Linked DNA regions of Tamandua tetradactyla. The protein of the gene in region 1 interacts with the protein of each later gene in a pairwise test. Links are inferred from orthologs where the notes say so. Each region holds a gene or a part of one and is shown on either strand. Other genes may lie near its edges.

Region 1 (10,613 bases):
ATTAGTACTAATTTACTATGACCCTGAGTAAATTATTGCATTCCTCTTTCAAATCCTTACAATTCCCCATTTTTATGTTAACAATGAGGGAAAAGTCAGACAATTCTTTTTGTTGTTGTTACTGTTGGTTAAAGATTTGGGGACCGACCTGGGTCCTATTCTCCACTTTATCTTCTTACCTGGGGTAAGGCCAGCGAGCTTAGGTTATCTAGCTTTCACTCTGCAAACTATGAGGCATTCCTGATTCCTTTAGTAGATCCTGGCTTTTCTTGTTTTACCAGGAACACTGTAGTCTAAAATTTGTGAGATATGTTATGCTGGTTCATTTAAAAAGCACATGCTGACAAGTAACTCAATTTCATTTCAAAATGTAGTATCAAGATTCTTCAACAGCTAATTCTGAAAAGGCCCCCAATAGCTGGCTGTAGTGGAAAGACAACACTAGAGCCCAATGCTTAAGTGTTTCCGGATCGAGTCTAAAGAATTTGCCAGATTTCATTTGGAGGTGCTATCACGCTTCAGTTTTAAATGACAGGACATTTCAGAAAGCCACATCATCCTTCTCACCCTCCACCCTAATCAGTATCCAAAAGCACATAAATACAACTATCTGTTAGCAGCAGAAACAATTCATATTCAATTCCCCCCATCAAATTCGAATCTGTTAAGCTGACCAAAATCAACACAAGACGATGTCAAACCATGACCATAACATTTCTTAGAATTATCAATGCTGAAGTCAAGTTATTTTGCTCATGCAAAGTGAATCAACATTAATTACTGATCAACAGTAGGAAAAAAACAACAAAACCCACACTTCAGAGTAGATGAGCAAAAACTTCAAGTGCTTAAAACAGCAAAAGGATCACTAACACCCCAACCTGATGTTATCACTACCAACTCTCCAGTCTAGGCAGTGTGTACTTACTGCAGTAGTGCCCTCGGACACACTACATAGTGCTACCAACACTTAGAAAAAGTATTTTCCCCTAGATATGAAAGAGAGGTTATGGTTCCTGCTTCTCAAACTTCCAGTTCAGTAAATATTTCAAGTTAGGAATACAGTTCACAAATAACAGATTTTTCCAACAGTTGAGTATGTGTCATAATATTCTAAATCCCACACTAACTGCAAGAGTTTAAACTATGGGACTCAAAAGGGGGAAAAATCTTTTAGATTTTAGGGGATAAGAGCAAGCAAGATAAGGGATGTTTAATTTTAATACATGATCTTTCCCTCTTAAAATAATGCTTAAGCAAACTCCTGTTAATACAAAGATTAATAATGATATGTCTGAACATAAGTAAGCACTGATTTTTATTTTTTAAAAACTATCTTTTAAAGCTGCACAAATCAATCACTAGTTACCAGTGTGTTACTTGATAGAGTAAGCACAAAGTTACTAGCACCACATCTTTCTTCTAGACAAAATCCACAAAGATAATTATTTCCATATCAAGAACCTTACACATGCAGATTCAGAAAAAGTGCTTTTCTCTTGAAGGCGCAAAATTAGATAAAAACTAAGAAAATGATAAACTATCAAATCCTTCCCTCTCTCTCTTTTCAGCTCTGCTAAGAAAGTAGAGACAGGCAGGTTTTAATTTCATGCTAGAATCATTTGTATAGATAGCATAGCGGCAAAGCTGTATGTGGATTCCTGGGTTTTGGAATCCACAACTCACTGCTCTTGGGCAAGCTAGTAAACATACCCAAGCCTCAGTTTCCTTTGACATGAAATGGAGATAATAGTACCTAACTAATAAAGGTCCTTCTGAGAATTAGATTAGATGATGCATGGAAAGAGCTGAGAATCATACCTGAAAGACAGTAAGTGTTCAATAAATACTAGCTGTTATTTTTATTACATGTATATAGACACATTCAAAAACTCTAGCCAGTTTACTTCATTCTCTGTAACAAAGTCAATAAAGATAACCAGCTACCCAGCAACCCAGCCCACAATCATTCACATGTTCAATAGTTTCTTTGTCTAATTTACTTAAATATCATAGTAGTTAGCTTACTCATGAGGAGAAAGGGATAAACTTTGTTTCATTACTAAATACATTACCTACTCAGCCCAGTCAAGAAGCAAACAATTCTCTTTCTCTGTTAAGATCCTACCTTCCTCCAAACAAGACTTCTTACATTCTCACCTGCCACATCCTTTGCCCCCATATCCCAAACAAACATATCCATACTCTTTGTGGCTGTTTGGACTGCAGAAGCCTCATCTCTTCCCCCTTTTAAAATCCTGATACATTGGCTAAACAGGTAGTTAAACACTCCAACCCGACCATTCTCTCAGCACCTGGTCTTGCACAAGACCCAGCTCAGAAGTCACCTCCTCTGAGAAACTTCCCCACCGTAGGCAAAATTAAATCCCCTAAAGCTCCCAAATCTGCCCCAGTAGTTACCTTAAAATGAACAAATCATGTCTCCCCCAACAGAACGGATTACTTGAGGGCAAGAGGAGTGCTCTGCAAGTTCAACTTTAGCACTAAGCAGAGTGCTTGGCACATGTTAAGTGCTCAAGAAATGCTACACTTGAACTGATTTTCTCCCTAGAGAGCACCATCTCTTGCTGGGTGTCCCACTTCAAAATATGAACACAAGACAACTCTCAGAAGAGTAGGGTAACACCGAGGACTGTCCATAACAACACCAGAAAACCTACTCATCAGCTTCTCCCCCGGAGAAGTTCCCAGAACCCAAACTCAAGTGAGCAGGATTACATACCAACACAATTAGTAGGAATTCCCAGCACATTACATGGGGTACCTTCTCCTTCAACAGAATTGTTGGAAAGTCTACAGGGGTGAGCTTTCAACTGGGGGCAGAGTTGGGGAGTTAGTCTTTACTGAGTAAGGACAGTAGAAATATGCAAATAAATGTCTTGACTTGGTTGAAAAGAGTTCAAAAACAGAAAGATCTGGGAAACACTGGCTAGCCTCCGGAAAAACAGCGGCTTCTGAAAAGGAATGAATAGGAAGCAGGGGTGGGGGCTGGCCACTTTCTGTTTCAATAATTAAAATCTTCTTTTTCTTCCCCTCTCCACAGGCCTCCCCTCCAAAAAAGGCCAATATACTAGGTTAGATGGGATGCTCAACCTTTCTTCATGGCAACTACATTAACTGGGCTTCTGAGAAACACTGCTTTGAGAAACCTGCCACAGTGAAAAAGTTCTAGGCATTAATGCCTTAATCTTTAAGAAATCAACATGCCAGAGTCCAACATTTACATGGATGGTTCACAGAAAATCTGCAAACTTTCTGAAGGGTAAGGGAGGTACTACCATCTTTGCAAAGAACAGAACTTGGAAAAAGCAGTGTGGAATTATGAAGAACTCCACAAAGAGCAGCTTTAGTTTTAGAGCCATAATTCCTATCATAAACATCTTACCAAAAGAACAACACAGTTGACGAAAGGAATCTTTCATTCTGGAAGCAGAAGAGGAAGCAAACCAGAAGCAGAAAGGGAATAACCCCCAAAATAAAGTTCCATTTGGAAAAAATAATGGTAATTCAATCTCCCACCCTTCCTTCCCGGGTGAGCTTTGTGATTTCTACTGCTTTGCTCTGCAGAAAGCCCTTTCTGGACAGCTCAAGGAAGGAGCCGAGGGAGGGAGAGAAAGACACAGGCACAGAAAGGAGAGGAGAGAGAAAAAGAAAATGGCGCAGAGACTAAGTCCCGACCGTCGACAAGGCGACTTTCCCGGGAGGAATCCGGGCTCGGGAAGGTTCCCCGAGACCCGGCGGCGGGCGATGCGGGGTCTCGGTTGCCCCCTCTGGGGAGGGCCGCGATCTGGGGGGGCTAGGGTACCCGGAAAGGGGATCCAGAGGCGGCCCGATGGGAACAATGGGGCCGGTAAGCGAGGAGCCGGGACTTAGTCTCTGGGGCGCCATGTCTGTCCTCTGCCGGGCTCCGGCCGGGCGCCGGGTGGGTGGCCGGCTGCTGGGGGGCCCGAGGTCGGGGCGGGGTCGAGGGGCCGGGGACACACTCACCATTCAATCGGAAATCCGCTTCGATCTGGAGAAAGAAAAGGAGGGAATATAAAACAACAGGCAATTTAGCCCCCCGGGAGGTGTGCGCGCGCGACCGGGGGCCTAGTCCACCCTGCGCCCACTGGAATGAGGGGACCCCGGGAACCGCCTATAAGGGCAGCTGAACCCCCCACAAACTATAACTTCGTGGCCTTGGTCCACGGCCTAGCGAGCCGATCTGCCCTGGCGGGCGGCTCCTCGCCGGGAACTCCGGCCTGTCAAAGCAGCCGGGCCGGGGCCTGCGCCGGGGGTCGCGGGAGGGCCGGGGCGGTGATTGGGCGCCGGGAAGGGCCGGGCGGGGCATACCTGGGAATCGTTGTGGAGATGGTCCCCGCTCATGTCGGCCGGAGCGGCGAGTGCGGCGGGCGGCGAGGGGGCGCGAAGGAGACGCAGACGGTCGGGACCGGGCTCTGCAGGGGACGAGGGCTCCCGGAGGCTCCCGAAGCCGCGGATAAGCCGCGACAGCAGCGGCCCTAAGATTCCGGGAGCGGCTGAGGCGGCAAGAGTGGCAGCGACGGTGACTGACTGCCGGGCGGGCGGCGAAAGCAGACCCCAGCAGTTGTGTAACAGCCTAAGTTCGCATTTCGACTCACTGCGCCTGCGCGGCCGCTTTTAAACGGGACGCCGGCGACGTCAGAGACTCGCGGAAAAAGGCCGAGGGTTGCGGGACCCGCCCCCTCACGGTTCGCTAGGAGAACCCGGCTTTGCATCTCAGGCCACGCCCCTAGCCCTCGCACGGCGCTGTGATTTGCATAAGGAGCCGGCTCCTCCCACCGCCGCCCACCAAGAGCAACCTTCCGGTCCTGTCCACGAGCCTTTTCTCGGAACCCAGGATGGCTCTGCTAGAGAGTGCGCACGCGCTGCGGGGACACCGCCTCCAGACCCAGGCCCGCGGCGCGGACACGTGGTGGGCCTTTAAAGGCCGCGGCGGGACCGAGCAAGGCCCGGGTGGATCATCAGCATCTCCCGTGAACTGAGGAAACTCGATGCTGGCGGCGCGGGTTCCAGAGCACACACCGGTGCGTCCTCGCTTGCTGACCTGGCACTGAGACCGCTTGGCGGCAGCTACCCCTTCGCAGTCTTTGTCGAAACCATTCTACTTAAGGATTTTTTCACACCCCCTTAAGAAAATTATTTTACTTTTTCAACAACCGAGAGTCTGGGTTAGTCCCAGTTTCCAGCTGAGTACATGGAGCCCTGGGCTACAGAGGGTCTAATTTCATTCTTTCGTTCTGCAATTAGGTAACGAGCATCTACTTTGAGCCAGGAATTGTGCTAAGGAAGGGGGCCTGGTACCAAAGGGAGTGGAAACACCCGGGCGCTGTCCACCGCTTTGTCCCCAGTATGCTGTTGGAAATGGAGTGGAGTGATTTAGGGAAATTTGTGGGGACATCTACTATGTACTCTGTTCTGAAGTTTAGTAATAGCTCTCTAAGTTTGTCTTTAAAAAGTCAAAGTGTCTCAGAGATAAGTGACCTACAATCGCCTACCTGACATCTATACTTAGATGCCTCATGAGCTTCTCTGGGCTAAACTCATCCGCCTCCTCCACCCAGTTAGGGAAGCCCCACCCTGGACGTATTCCTCTCTCTCATTTCTTATTAGTCCTGCGCATTGCATCCCTTTGTTCCGTCTACTTCTCTCCTGCCCCCTGCCCACATGCCTGTCCAAGTCTAACTTACCTCTTTCATGGATTATTAAAAATACTAATAAGGATCCCTGCTTAACTTTTTGGTCCACAAACCGCTCGGCAACGCTTGCCAAAGTAGTTCTTCCAACACAAAGATCTAATCATGACCTCACTTCCACCACACTTCCCATCACTCAGAGTATGATGTCCTAAATCCTTAAGTAACCATTCTTAAGACCTTGCTTAGCCAGCTTAACTCAAGTATGATCTCTATAAATTTTGCCATATCTATTACCACTTCCACTATTATTACTTAATATTTTAATTCACCCCCCTTTTTTTGTTTGGCTTCATCCTAAGTAATATCTATGAAATTCATTTAAAAATAAATATGAAAAATGTTCACCCTTGGACTGTAAAATCATCTCTATCACATCTAGTGGTAAACACTTGGAGGTTAGTTTTTTTTTTGTTTTTTTTTTTGTCATGGACAGGCTCTGGGAATTGAACCCAGGTCTCCGGCGTGGCAGGGGAGAGCTCTGCCACTGAGCCACTGTTGCCTGCCTGTGAAGTTAATTCTTATGAATGCTTCAAAGTTCAATACAACTTTCCCAAAGAAGCTTTCTAAGACCGCCCCCCCTCACTCCCAGGTTAAGTGCCCTTCATAGAGCACTTACCACAATTGTCATTAAGCTACTAATCAGGTAATTAGTCTTTGTCCCAGTAGAATGGAAGCTCTGTGAAGGTAAGAACCTTGTTCATGTTGTTTGGTGTTGGATCCCCAGCACCCAGTCACAGGCCCTCCTACAAAAGAGGTGCGCAATCAACAAGTGGGTGAAAGCAGGATAATGCATTGGTTAGAAGCACACCCTTGGAAGTCAAAGCAACCTAGGTTTGAATTTTGCTTTGCCTCTTATTAGCTATGTATCCTTGTACAAGTTGTTTAAATTCTCTGAGTCCCATTTTCCTCATCTTTACAATGGTGTTAATGGTAGGAATCTAATAAGCTATTGAAAAAGTAGTTGTTTGAGAACACACGGCTTGTAAGTGGTGAGTCTTAGGTTCAGACTCTGGTCTGTTTGACTTCAAAGCCATGCTCTCTTTCTGAAGCAAGCTGCCAGAGCCTGTTTTACCTTGCTTCTGGTGCCTGTCCTTATAATCTTCCAGGCCTCAGAAGCAATCCCAGGCCACCAGGTGAGAATCTGGCCCTACCCGCTTGCTGCAGTTAAACCAGTATAATTTGATGATTGCCTTTGGGGATAGCAGGACTACCACTGCAGCCCTGCTTCCGTTCTCAAGTCCTCAAGGAGAATCTGCGTTTGTCTACCAATGGGCATTTGCCCCAGTGGGCCTGAAAACAGAGTGCAAACTTCAGAGCAACCTATCAAGCATGTGCCCCATGCACAAACATACAGGTTTGTAGGCAGTCTTGTCACAGACTGAGCTTCTCTGCCAGCGTTCTAGTTTGCTACCTGCCAGAATGCAACACACCAGAGACGGATTGGCTTTTAATAAAAGGGGATTTATTTAGTTAATGTATAGTTCTTCAGAGGAAAGGCATCTAACTTTCGACTGAGGTTCTTTCTTACATGGGAAGGCACAAGGCGATCTCTGCTGGCTTCTCTCCAGGCCTCTGGGTCCCAACAACTTTCCCCGGAGTGATTTCTTTCTGCATCTCCAAAGGCCTGGGCTGAGCTGCAAGTGCCGAGATGAGGTATGCTGAGCTGCTTGAGCTGTGCTATGTTGAGCGCTCTCATTTAAGCACCAGCCAATTAAGTCAAACCTCATTCATTACAGCAGGCACCCCTCCTAGCCGACTGCAGATGTAATGAGCAACAGATGAGGTTCATGTACCATTGGCTCATGTCCACAGCAATGGAACTAGGCACCTTCACCTGGCCAAGTTGACAACTGAATCTAACACAGCCAGCATGAGTGACTGGCAGTGTTCAGAGGTCTCTGGGCAGAAAACGAATGCCTGGGTTCACTGGCTTACCCAGGCCCATGTGGCCTCTCTCCCTCCTGAAACTTCCCCACAATGTGACCCATCTAGTATTTGAGAAGATTATAGTGACACATAGGTAAACATTTTTGTTTTAATAGTTATGGATATATTTCAATGTATATGAGAAAACAAGACATTTAACCACCACGTCAAATCCATGATTTTAAGGATGTAAGGATGAGGCTTGAAAAAAAAAAGTTGGTTGATTGACTAAAATAAAAATATCAAGGAATAGCACAGATACGACAAATGAGATACAGCTTAGGTCTATGACAAAGGTCATAGGCAAGCAAATCAAGCTCTGGAAACGCTGCTTTAAATCAATCTGCTCACTTGTGGACTGTCCCAGGCCCCATAAAAAGGCAAATGAGAGCTGATTTTGTAGGTCTTTTTCCCAAAGTATGCACTGTGAAAGGTGGACTACACCTAGTACATATTCCTCCAGAAGAAGAGCTCCTCCTACAAATGTATACATTGTTATGTTTTAAAGTTAAACAGGTTTATTTTCCACGGGACTTCTTGCAGCCTTTGATATGCTAACACATGCATGCACGTCTTCGAAATGCATTTAAACACAGAAACTGTTTTCTTCCAGACTACCTCTTGAGACTTGGGCTCTTTGGAATGACTGTCTTGGGACATCCTGATCTAAGTGGTTGCCCAAGATTCTGCCCTCACTCATTTGCCTCTGACTCACCTGGGCTGGCCCAACTCTTGGCTACCAGTACTGAACACCTATAGGGTTGTCTGAATACCTCCTGCTTTTCAGGGACCAATCCTTCTGCACACCTTCCCCAATGCATGGTTATAGAGTGAAATGTATAATGTGCTGCTTGCCTTCTGACTGTTGTGTGGACCAGGATGGGCAGTTGATCCAAACTGGACCCTATAGATGCACTTCCTTGGGACTTCAGAATTAGGAAGAAGGGATTTGGTTGCTTCTTGTGGATGGATCTTTATCATGTAGATTAGGGAGCTGTCCCTAGTGGTATTTTCTGCCAATAGGACCAGAGAAGCAGAGAAAGCTGAAAGAGAGAGAGAGAGAGAGAGAGACAGACAGACATAGATATGCAAAATAAGAAGAGATGGAGAGAAAGTCCCAATGGTATTTTGCTCTATTCAGCTCTGATGGGTCACTTAAGATCAAGAGCTCTAACATAGAGTACTAATCTACATTTGCTTCCTGGGCAATCTCAAGGCCTCTGATATCCCTCTGGACCCCTCAGGTTATGACCCTTGGATACTCATCCTGGCATTTTTCGTTTGAGGGGGTGAAGTCCATGGGCGGGGAATCAAACCCAGGTCTCCCACATGACAGGCAAGCATTCCACCACTGAACCAACCATGCATCCCCCCTCCTGACATTTTAACCCATGGATGCCTGCTCCTTCTCAGCTTTGTCGATCCTTTTGAGAGCAGCATCTTCTAGCAGTTCTCTCTGGTCATATTGCCTTGTCTGAGGACCCAGTGCCCTTTCAAGATTTAGACATACTCAGAAAAGTACTTCCTTGATACTCCAGAAAGGAGACTCAGGCTTGCAATTCCAGTTGCAGCCAGAAATATGACAAAATGAGGGCAGTTTGGCAGAGCTGACATTGGAGATAGGCAATGAGGCCATTGCAGGTATCTCAGGAGCATTGTCAACTGCTTTGGAATGAATGCTAAGGTGAGGACTCTGAATGAGACAGCAGGATTTTGGCCCATGCCTTGGGTAAAGCCTAAGGTAAGTTTATGGCAGCAGCTCTCTCTGAATCTCCCCCTAACAGGGTGTGTTGCTGGGATATCCTGCTGCTACTCAGGTCCAGCTACCTCTACCTGTTGGAAAGCTGAACCAGTGGGCAGGAGGAGCCAGAGAAGTGGGAACCAGGCTTCAAGAAACACTGGAAAATTCTAGGAGAGAAACTCTAAGCTGATTCAGCATGACTTCCCAGGAAAATGCAACAGAAGCGGCAGCTTCACCCAATAACCAGCAAGTGACAGCTTAGCCAAGATCAGGTTTTAAAAGATCTGGCTTCCCACCCCTCTCACTAAGCCCCCTAAATCCTCAATACCATCCCTTTCACCTCCCCAGACCCTGGCTTCCTCAAGCATCTTCTCTCCCTCCTGCATGGGGAACTTCTCCACTTACTTCCTCTTTCAATTTTCCCCCTTGATCCTGTTAGAGATAATAGCTCACATTAATTTTTTACTTACTTACCATGTGCTCTGCCCTGTGGTGAGGGCCTCATGCATGTTATCTCATTTAATTTTCACATATGAATCAGGTACTGCTGGTTACACCATTTTACTGACAAGGAAACTGAGGTTTAGGAAGGCTAATTAAATTAATTTGTCCAAAGTCACACAGCTACTGAGTGGTAAAGCAGCCTGACTACAGAGCCCTGTCTCTCTTTGTGTGTGTGTGTATCTTTTTTTCCCTCCCCTTAGACATTTTATTTTGAAGTAATTTCAAACTCATAGACAGTTACAAAAAATATGAAACCCACACAGAGAACCCCCAACACCCAGATCCATGAATTTTAACATTTTGCCACATTTGATGTATCATTCTGCCTATCCATCTGTCTATCTGTCTATGTAGCTATCAGTCAATTTTCTTGGAACCCCCTCTCTTAACCCCCCAAACTTGCTCCCAAGTTGCCCTGAGGTCACTGTTCTCCTCCCTCTTGTCTAAGACATTTGAAAAGAATAGTCTGTACTTGCTACGCCTTCTGCTTTATTCCCCATCCTTCAAAACACTGTTGATCTGGCTTCCATTCCAATCAGAGACTTCCTAGTTTCCAAACTGAGTATCCTCATTCTCCTCCACCACCCCACAGTACTCGATGGTGACTGTGCCCATTCTGTGGTCTCTTTCCATTTGACTCTAGTGACCGTTCTTTCTCCTACCTCTCCAAATGCCACTTCTCTGCCTCCTCCTCATCTCCCATC
Region 2 (9,864 bases), on another chromosome or scaffold:
CCTCCCTCTCTCTTCCAGATTCAGCCAACTTCTAGCTTGCAGCTAATCCCTGTGGCTTCTCTTTCTGTCTCCAATTTCCATTCCTGATGAGGACTTCGGCTTAGTGGATTAAGGCCACCCTCATTCAGTGTGAGCACCTTAAGCAATAACATCTTCAAGGGTCCAACTTACAAATGGATTCACAGGACCAGTAGTTGAGTAGTTGAGAACATGTCTCTTGTGGGGACATGATTCAATTCCCAATAACAGGACAGGTGAAAAAACTGAAATGTAGACTGTAAGCCTTAGACTGATGTTAAATTTCTTGAATTTGATAACTGCACTTCAGTGGTTTCACTAGTGAATAGCCTCGGTCTTAAGAAATGTACATGGAATCATTAAGTGTTCAAGGAGCATCATGTGTACAACCTCAGACAGCTACCTAGATGGACTGACAGGCAGGTGGACAGATAGATTCAGCAAATATGGCAAAATGTTAACACTGGTGGATCTAGGTATTTGGGCAGGGAGAGGGTACTTTGGAGTTGACTACGAGGGTTGCACATTTTTTTTAAGTGTCCTGTACGTTTGAAAGTATTTCAAAATAAAACATTAAAAAGAAAGGAAGTGAAAAAACCACCATAGGAGAAAATATCTGGAAACCCCCAATCTAATAAGGACTTAACATCCAGAACATATAAAGAACCCCTACAACTCAACAACAAAGACAAACAACCTAATTAAACAATGGGACAAGGAACTGATTGCCATTTCTCCAACAAAGATCTACAAATGGCCAAAAAAAAAAGCACATGAACAGATAGATGCTCACCTCATTAGCCATCAGGGAAAGGCGAACTAAAACCATGAGCTACCTCACCCCAGAAGCATGGCTCCTATCAAAGAACCCTGAAAATGTAAAATGGTGGCTCCGCTGTGGAAAATAATTAGCAGATTCTCATAAAGAACTACCATATATATATATATATAATTACAGAATGAAGATATACTGCCCATCCAAGGTATATGCCCCACAGAGCTGAAAGCAGGGACTCAGATATTTCTACCCCAACATCTATCGCTGCATGATTCACAATGACCAAAAAGTGGAAGCAACCCAAGGGTCCATCAACAGGTAGTTGGAGAAACAAAATACGGTTCATCCAGACAATGGCACACTGTCCAGCTGTAAAAAGAAGTGAAGGGCTGGTCCACGCTACTACAACACGGATGAATCTTGAAGATATTGTATTAAGTGAAATGAGCCAGACACAAAAGGACAAATAGTGTGTAATTTCTCATATGAAATAACTAGAAAGGCAAAGTAATGGAGACAGAGAAGGGCCCACTTACAGGTTCCAGGGCTTGTGGCAGGGGCTCCATTCAATCCACAATGTGGAGGTAACTGTGCCCTGCTCCTCCCATCCTGGCCTGGGGCACCTGACACCCACATGACATTACTGGTGACCTGACCTTGACCCCTGGATGGACCCGCTCAGCTTTCCCACGTTCAAGTTACCATTGTCCCCTGTCTGCTCTGCTCTCCTGAAGCCAGTGCCCACACCCAGCCCAGTCCAGCCAGAGTTCACCTCGGGCTGGTGCGTCTCTACACCTTACACTTGGGATTCTCCTGCAATGAAAGGCCGTCACTTTCTCTGGAGTGGACTCCCCAGGATTTACTTTCTTCTTCAGGTCAACCAGCGTTAAGCCTGTCTGCGGCCTTGCATGTGCTGCCAGGGCCTTTAATCTCCAGCTAACCCAGGTGTCCCATCCGCCCCATCTCACAGGTATAAACACTGAGGCCCAGTGGGTACCCGCCCAGGCCACGCAGCCACTCCTGGCCCAGCAATGGCCTGCGCCACCCACGCAGGTAAAGTGTCAAGAGCATGAGTGGAATTACAACCTGAGGCCTGGAAAGAAAGGAGAAGTGCGAGCGTACAGTCGGGGCTCCAGTGGCAGGGCCTCTGGGCGCTTCTGGGGGGCGGCAGACACGTCCAACACGCGAGCTCAGGGCAAGTCGCTGCAGCTACTATTGCCAGAGAGGACAGGCTTCACCGACATGGCATTTAGATACTCACCCCCACCCCATCTTAAACCAAAACAAACCTGCAGCCCCGGTGCCCAGCTTGCCCCAGGACCATGGCCTTCAAGCCCTATATGTGGGTACACCTCACGGCCTGCCCCCCATCCCCAGGAAGCATTACAACTCTGACGCCTCTGCCCTGCCCAGCACTGAAGGACCCACCCGTCCCTGTGCCCTGAGACCCCACTTTCCAGGAGGCCCCTCACTGGCATTACTGAGAAATGGTTCCAGGGCCCCCCTTCTCCAGTCACTTGCTCAACTCATGGAGCCCCACATGCTGCAAACCCCAGATCACACCTGCTCCGGGCGCAACGCCACTTTCCCAACCCAAATGCTGATACATCACCCCGCCAGGGATATCAGACCCCCCTAGCACCACGTGCCCCAGGGAACACTTAACCCCCACCCCAGCTTGTCCTTGCCTGCACACACTTAAGTCAGAAGTCAGGAGACCCCAACATTACAGCCCACCGCCCCCATTCCCCACTCTCCCTCATCTGCCAAGCCACTTTCTCAGGGAGCCATGGGACATACCTTGTCCCAAAGAAAAACTGCACCATTCCACTTCCCCCTTCGGTCAACCTTCCCAAGCACCTCTGAGAGCCCTTGAATACCACTCCACAAGCTGCGCCCCGCCCCCCTGCTCCTCTGGCTCCAGCCTTGCTGTGGCTCCCACTTGCCCAGCTCCTTCCAGTTGGCCTGCACACCCCTGACTCTGAAGCTCCCCATGCTGCCCACTCGGTATCATCTGCTCAGGCGGCTACCCCTGGAGAAGGTCAGACCACTACCACTCCTGGGCAACCTGGAGAGCCCCCCACATGCCCGGAAATCGTCATTAGCTACCCCATCCTCACTTAACCCCCACCTGCCTCCTTCTTTGCTCAGGGGATCCTTGGTCCCCCTTGGTCAACATGCAAACAGACACTCCAGGAACCAGACACACGCCCAAAGTCCAGTACTTCCAAAACTCACAGTGACAGGGTTCCACCAGCCCCTTCCAACAGAAAACCCAGATCCCCAAATGGCCCACTCCACCCCAAAGAGCTGACCGTGAGCTGGGAGGGAGAGGGGGCTGCCAACTTCGCTTTACTTATTCCAGCATGTTTCAAGGGAGGTGATGGGAAAGAAGGAACATCTTTCAAGACCCCATGGTGCCAGGCGGCAACTGAGGAACCCCATGGGCAGGCCGAGGCGCAGGGGGGCAAGGGGTAGAGAGGGTTCACAGGCTGCCCACCCCCAAGGCCTCCCATTCCAAGCTTGGGGGGCAGCAGCAGAGGCCAGGCCCCCTGGATGGAGAAGGAAAGGGCTGGAATGCAGAGACAAGCACGGGCCAAGGGACACGGCCACCAATCCCCAGAGACCCAAACAGGGAGGACCACGACCGGCAGAAAAAGCCAAGAGCAAGCCGGAAACAAAGGGTCTCAAAGACACAAGTTCAGTAAGAGCTGCATGTCACCCAGGATGGGAAGAACCCTGGAGTCTGGGGGCTGCACTCTGCAGGGGGGTGGCAGAGAAGAAGGCTGGAGCAACCCCTCCTTCCAGAAAGGAGGCCTGGGGATGGCCGGTGACTACAGGTCGGGGAGGGGAGGGGAACAGGGGTGCTGCTGCACTTGAGCTCACGGTGCACGGAAGGGGCAGAGGCTTGGAAGAAGAGATCCCTCTAGGGCAAATTGAGGGAAGAAGAGCAAGGTAGAGCCCCCTGAACCAGGAGCAAATGGTGGTGGTTGGGGGTGGTGGTGCCAGGTTCCTGAGCCCAGGCTGAGGAGATGGGCGGGGGGGGGGGTGGGGGGGGTGGGGGGGGGTGGGTTTCTAAGGCCAGAGGTCTGGGTTGGGGGTGGGTGGGTAGCCAAGAGGCTGGGGTAGGGGGGGTGTGCGTGTTCGGACCAGGGGCGCAGTTGGGGGCGGGGCCCACCGATCAATCAAGGGCAGGGGGTCCCGGGTAGGAATCTCCGGTCGTAGATCCCAGGGATCCCTGGAGGGCTCGTGTGATTGGCTTCCAGGGGTCGCTGGGGCAAGCGCCTCTAACGGGAGCGGGGGCCCCGGGGGTCTCGAGGGTGGGGGGAGTGGAAGGTGGGTGGCGGCACCCAGGGTCCCCGGCCGGGGACGGGGGGCCTGCGAGTGCTGGGGCCCAGGGATCCGAATCCGGACGAGCCCGGGCGTGAGGGGCCCGGGGGCCGGGGTCGGCGGGGGTCGGGGACGGCAGGCCCACCTGTGCGCGGGGACGCGCTGCGCGCCGAGGCCCTTGCCCACCAGGAAGTGCACGTCGCAGAGCACGTCGTTGTTGAAGAGGAAGGCGAAGCGTTCCTTCACCGTGGGCTTGGTGGCCTGCCAGTTGTACGCGGGTTCGCGGAGCAGCGCCCCCGGCCCCGCCGCCCCCGGCCCGGGCCCCGCCGCCTCCTCGGCCGCCCGCTCCCCGCAGCCCGCCGCGGCCTGCGCGCTCGGCCCGGGGCCCGGCACGGGGGGCGGCGCGCCGGGGGCGGCGGGGCCCGAGCCGGGGGCGGCGGCGGAGGCGGCGGCGGCGGCGGCAGCTGCGTTGCCGGGGGCCGGGGCGGCCGCGTTGGCGCTGGGCCCCGGGCCGCCCCCCGCGCCGGAGCCGGCGACCCCCGGCGGGCACGACGCGCGCCCGCCGCTCCCACCCGCCGCCATCTTGTCGGTGCGGCGCCGCGGGGGGAGGGCGGGGCCGGGAGGGGGGAGAAGGAGGGGGGAGGGGGAGGGGGCAGGGAAGGGGGAGGGGGAGGGGGAGGGGAGAGGAGGGACCCGGGAGGGGAGAGGGGAGAGGGGAGAGCGGGGAGGGGAGAGAGGAGGGGGAGGGGAGACGAGCGGAAAGGGGAGGGGTGGGGAGGGGAGGGCCGGACCCAGACTCAGATACCTCTCCCGGGCGTCTCGTCCCTAGATCCCTAACTCCAGACCCCGACTCTAAATCTCGACCCCACATTCTAGTCCCTGCACCCCAGGCTCCAAACCCCAGACCTGGATCCCGGACCCAGACCTTAGCCCCAGGTATTCTACTCCTCCAGTGTAGGGGACCCCCTAGTACAGAGGGGGCAAACTGGGGCCCCTGGCGAGGGGGCGTCCGTGCATTGGGGACCCAGCAGGTAGATGGGGCCTCTGCTGGGCCAGGGCTCGCTGGGCAGCGTGGGCAGAGCTGGAAACCCCCCAAACCACTAAGCACAATCAAAGCACGTCCAAGGGCATCAGTGACCAAATGTCAAAAAACTGAGGGACAGGAAGCCAGGAGGGCCCACAACAGGGTCCCTTCATCTGGGGATGCAGCCTGGGAGGTTCAGCCTGGGAGAGGGGATGCAAAAAAAATTTTTTTAATTCTGAAAGTAATATATGAAAAATATTAGCACACTAATATAAGGTATTAATAATAGGGTGCTATATGGAAACTCAGGATTTTATGGACAGCTGTAAACCTACAACTTCTGTAATTAAAACGAAAGAGAAAAATAAAACAAAACTTGGAAAAGATAGGAAATATATAGGAAAATAAAAATTAATATCATCTCTCATCCACCCTCCAAATTTTACCAGTATTAGCACTTTGGCATATTACTTTGTTGTCTTTGTGTCATACAAAGAATAGACCCATCTTATAGAGTTGGAATCTTCATGAATATATGTAATATGATAAGAGGATATCACTCTTTTGGGACAGGAGTGCTGAAAAAGGACAAACAGAAATGAAAACTTTTTTTTTCATCCGAATAAAATCAGGTTCAGAGATAGTACTAGCTCCTGGACAAAGAAAGGAAATCCTCGTTCATCAGTTTTGAGAATCCTTATGCATCCATGTGCATTCACAGTCTAGAGTTGTTTTAGTTAACTCTAATGTTCGTTGATAAGGGGCTCCCCTAGATGTGCCACCTGGACCTTCTTTTTTTTTTGTATGCTGTATCGCAGGGTCATTCGTTATTTTTCCATGTGAGTATCCTATTATTGCAGCACCATTTGTTTTTATGTTTTGGGAGGTGAATGAACTGGGAATCGAACCCGGATCTCCTGCATGGTAGGTGAGAAGTCTACCACTGAACTACCCTTACAACCCACTCCCACCCAGAATTTTAAGCCTCCTGGCTCAACATATGCCACACTGAGCAAACATATGCCACATTGCACCTTCCTTGTCCATGAGTACAGACCCAGTTATGGGGAACTCTTCAGGTAGAGAAGAGTTTAACTGTTGGGAGAGCTCTCCAATTATCAAACATGAGTTTTTGGCAGAAAACCTTTCGGAGGCTCCTTCACTGATGGACTCAAAAAAGTATATTTTTTAAATCGTAACTTCATTCTGCTATTTCCAATGTAATTCTAACATTGTCCCCCTTGGCAAATTATGGCCTGCCCATGAGCCAAATATGGCCCTCCACCTATGGTTGTAAATAAAGTTTTATTGGTACACAGCCACAGCCATTTATTTGCATGTACCTCTGGCTGCCTCTACCATAGAGCAGCAGAGTTCAGTAATTGCAACAGAGAAACACAGAGCCTGCAGCGCAGAAAATGTTTGCTGTCTGGTCCTTTATGGAAAAAGTTTGCAGACCCCTGCTCTATCATATGCCTAATTAAATCCTTAGTTTCTCACTCCAACTATAATTTAATAGATAAGCCATAGAAGTCCCTGAAGATCTTGATTATAACCTGTTTCATTTCTTATTTTCTTAATCTGTTAACATAAAATATAAATACAGACCATGATATTTGTATCAACAGTGCCTAAAATAACTGCTGATTCGAAACTAAGATCCAAGATGACAGTCACTAAAGTGGTGAGAGCTAGTGCCTCGCCCGTTGCTTGGTTCGGGAATGGATGGGCAAACAAACCTTGCCAATGTGATGAAAGTCTGCCAGGGCGGGAAATTCAGGAAGGGGTTCTGTGCATGAGAAGGAGGAGGGGGCCTGAAGGTTAGGGTTAGAGCAGAGGGATGGAAGGAGTCTGGGTCTGCGTAACTGGGCTGAAACACCCTGATCATACCATACCTGCAAGCCGAACTAGCCTGGGGCTTTCTGTTCTATGAGCTAATAAACGTCTTTACAGTTTTAAGCAAGTTAAGTCTGATTTCCTGTAATTCGTGGCTAAAGGCACGTAGTTCATGCACCTGCCCCAGGTGAACACCTCCCACTGATGACAAAGAAGTGGCTTTGTTCTTGCATCTTTGTAATAATCCCAGACACCGTGTGCTTATTTACATAAATAGTCATTGTTTCAGTTAGATACCTGTTACCACACAGCAACCGCCTTGAGACATAGATGTGTCACCTGGGGGGGGGGACATTTCTGGGGTTGTCTGTCAGCTTCCTAAGGATACTGAAACAAATTGCCACCAAGTTAGGGGCTTAAAACAGCACAGATTTATTATGTTACGTTCTGGAGATCAGAAGCAAGGACCTCACTGGGCTACAGCCAAGCTGTCAACAGGACATCCCTTCCTTCTGGGGGTCCTGGAAGAGAATGCCCTTTGCATTTTCTAGCTTCTAGAAGCCACCCGCATTTCTTGGCTTGTGGCCACCCATCACTTTCCAATCTCTGCCTCCGTCATCACGTCCTCTTCTCTGATGCTGACCTTGGAGTCTTTCTCTGAAAAGGACATTTCTGATGACATTGAGCCCCCACCCCCCAGATAATCCAGGAGAATCCCCCATCTCAAGGCCCTTCACTTAATCCCGTCTGCAAAGTTCCTTTTGCCACGGGATGGGACTGTCACAGGTTCCAGGATTAGGACATGGTATCTTTAGGAGCCGTTATTCTCCAACCAGGGGATGAATGGGGCATTCTGGATCTTAACAGAAGTTTCCTTTTCAGAAACATGCAAGTCATTACCTGTAGATTTCACCTCAAAAAAAATAAAATAAGCAAATATCAAACTCAGGTGACCGATATGCTGGTGGTTTTCACACTGACTTATTCGGGAGGCAGTAAACTGATGCTTGCAACCCGGAAATGATTGAAAAATAAGATGAACACATGGCCAATACATGCATGAAATGATACTTAAATCACTGGTTATCAGGAGAAGGGAAATCAAAACCACAATGAGATACCACCTCACACCCCCTCGGACAGCCATTACTTAAAACAAAAAAAAACACAAAAACAAATGCTGGCAAGGATGCAGAGAAATAAGGACTTTTCTATGTTGCTCGTGAGACTTTGAAATGGTGTAGCTGCTGTGGAAATCAATGAGGCAGTTGCTCAGGAAGTTGAACATTGGATTAATGAGTGACCTGGCAATTCCACTTCTAGGGTATATATGCAAAAAAAACCGAAAGCAGTTTTCGGTTAGATATTTGTCCACCAATGCTCATCGCAGTGTTATTCCAAAGAGCCAAGAGGTGGAAGCCACCCAAGGGTCGATCAACAGGTGACGGATAAACATGCCCACAATGGAGTATTATTCAGCTGTAATACTGGATGTTGTGATACATATGACAACATGAATGAGGCTGGAAGACATCATGTTGAGTGCAGTAAGCCAGACACAAAAGGACAGATATAGTATAATCATGCATACATAAAATACTCGGAAGTAACAGATTTCCTAGAGGCAGATAGAAGATTCCAGATTACCAAGGGAACAGGGTGTGGGGCAGGTGGGAGAGAAGAAGCTGTTGCTTAAATGGATGCACAGTTTCTATTTGAAATGATGCAAAAGTTGTGGTGATGGATGATGGGGCAGTAGTGGCACAATATTATAGTTAATACAACTAAAGTACACTTGAGAGTTGCTAAAATTGAAATTTTGAGTGGTACAGATATTAATACCATAAAAAGTAAAATAAATAAATAAACTGGCATGATGAAGGGACCGAAGGTTGGAGATAAGACAGGGATACTAAAATAGCCATGATGGAATGTAGATGTTCAGTCTGGGATGCACACTATAAAATTATTTAGAATGTGTTGTACGTTTGAAATTTTTCATAATAAACTGTCAAGGGGCAGGGAAACTAGACATTTTGCTTTTCATCATCCCATGGGTTGGCTGGGCAGTCCTACTGCTGGTCTAACTGGGACTAAGCTATGCAGCCACGGGTACTTGGGGCGGGCAGCGGGGCCCGGTGGCCCGAGATGGCTCCATTCCTGTACTGGGCAGGCAGTGCTGGCTGCGGCTGGCTGGGAGCTTCCTGCCTCCATTGCGATGTCGGGGAAAAGGCAGATGCTGCAAGACTTCTTGGAGTCTTTTGGGGCCTGGACTACAGAACACGCCCGACCTTTTCCAGCACATTCCATTGGTCAAAGCATGTGCAAACCATTCCTGAGCTCAGGGGGTGGAGAGAGCGATGCCCCTTTGTCAAAATCCCACTGCAAATGGGAGTGCATAGGGCAGGAAGGTTCTGTGGGCATTGTGCAGTCCCGCCCCAAGCCCTTGGGGCTCTCTGTTTAAGTTGTAGAGTTCTGGGGTGCTGGTGGTGCCCTGATTGCCAGTGCTTCCTGCTCATCCAGTGGCGCAAACGATACCCCCAAGAGTCTGCAAACTCTTCATGAAGCTATTGATTAGGGCGAGAGTTCCCATGGTATTGAGATGGTTGGGTGACCTACTGAAGGGACCTGGTGACCATACCGCCGAACTGCCCTCACGTGCCATAGCATCGCACTCAGGACTTGTCATGCACCTGGCATCCTTAAGACAGGCTCATGGACAGACACCTGGGGGCCCTTGGGGGCTCCAAGGCCCCCAGCCCCTGAATCAAGGGCTGATTTACTGTGGAGGTGGCAGGGCAGAGCAGAAAGGGAGACTTTTCCACAAATGGTGCCAAGATGATCACGATGGGAGAAAGAGAAAACGAGGCCCATGCTT

Evidence for each region. The genes of interacting proteins can lie anywhere in the genome.
Region 2: the proteins of TOP1 (region 1) and BTBD2 interact in a two-hybrid assay, tested with the Homo sapiens proteins (2 studies listed by BioGRID). The link is inferred for Tamandua tetradactyla from reciprocal best matches to the Homo sapiens genes TOP1 and BTBD2.

What each region holds. Positions count from the first base shown.
Region 1 is NC_135327.1:11,132,411-11,143,023, forward strand, and holds the start of TOP1 (DNA topoisomerase 1), read right to left. Parts: upstream 4,657-10,613; 5' UTR 4,387-4,656; coding exon 4,354-4,386; intron 4,034-4,353; coding exon 4,009-4,033; intron 3,640-4,008; exon of another isoform or gene 3,065-3,639; intron 1-3,064. UniProt on the Homo sapiens protein: Releases the supercoiling and torsional tension of DNA introduced during the DNA replication and transcription by transiently cleaving and rejoining one strand of the DNA duplex.
Region 2 is NC_135337.1:80,945,116-80,954,979, reverse strand, and holds the start of BTBD2 (BTB/POZ domain-containing protein 2), read right to left. Parts: upstream 4,709-9,864; coding exon 4,272-4,708; intron 1-4,271.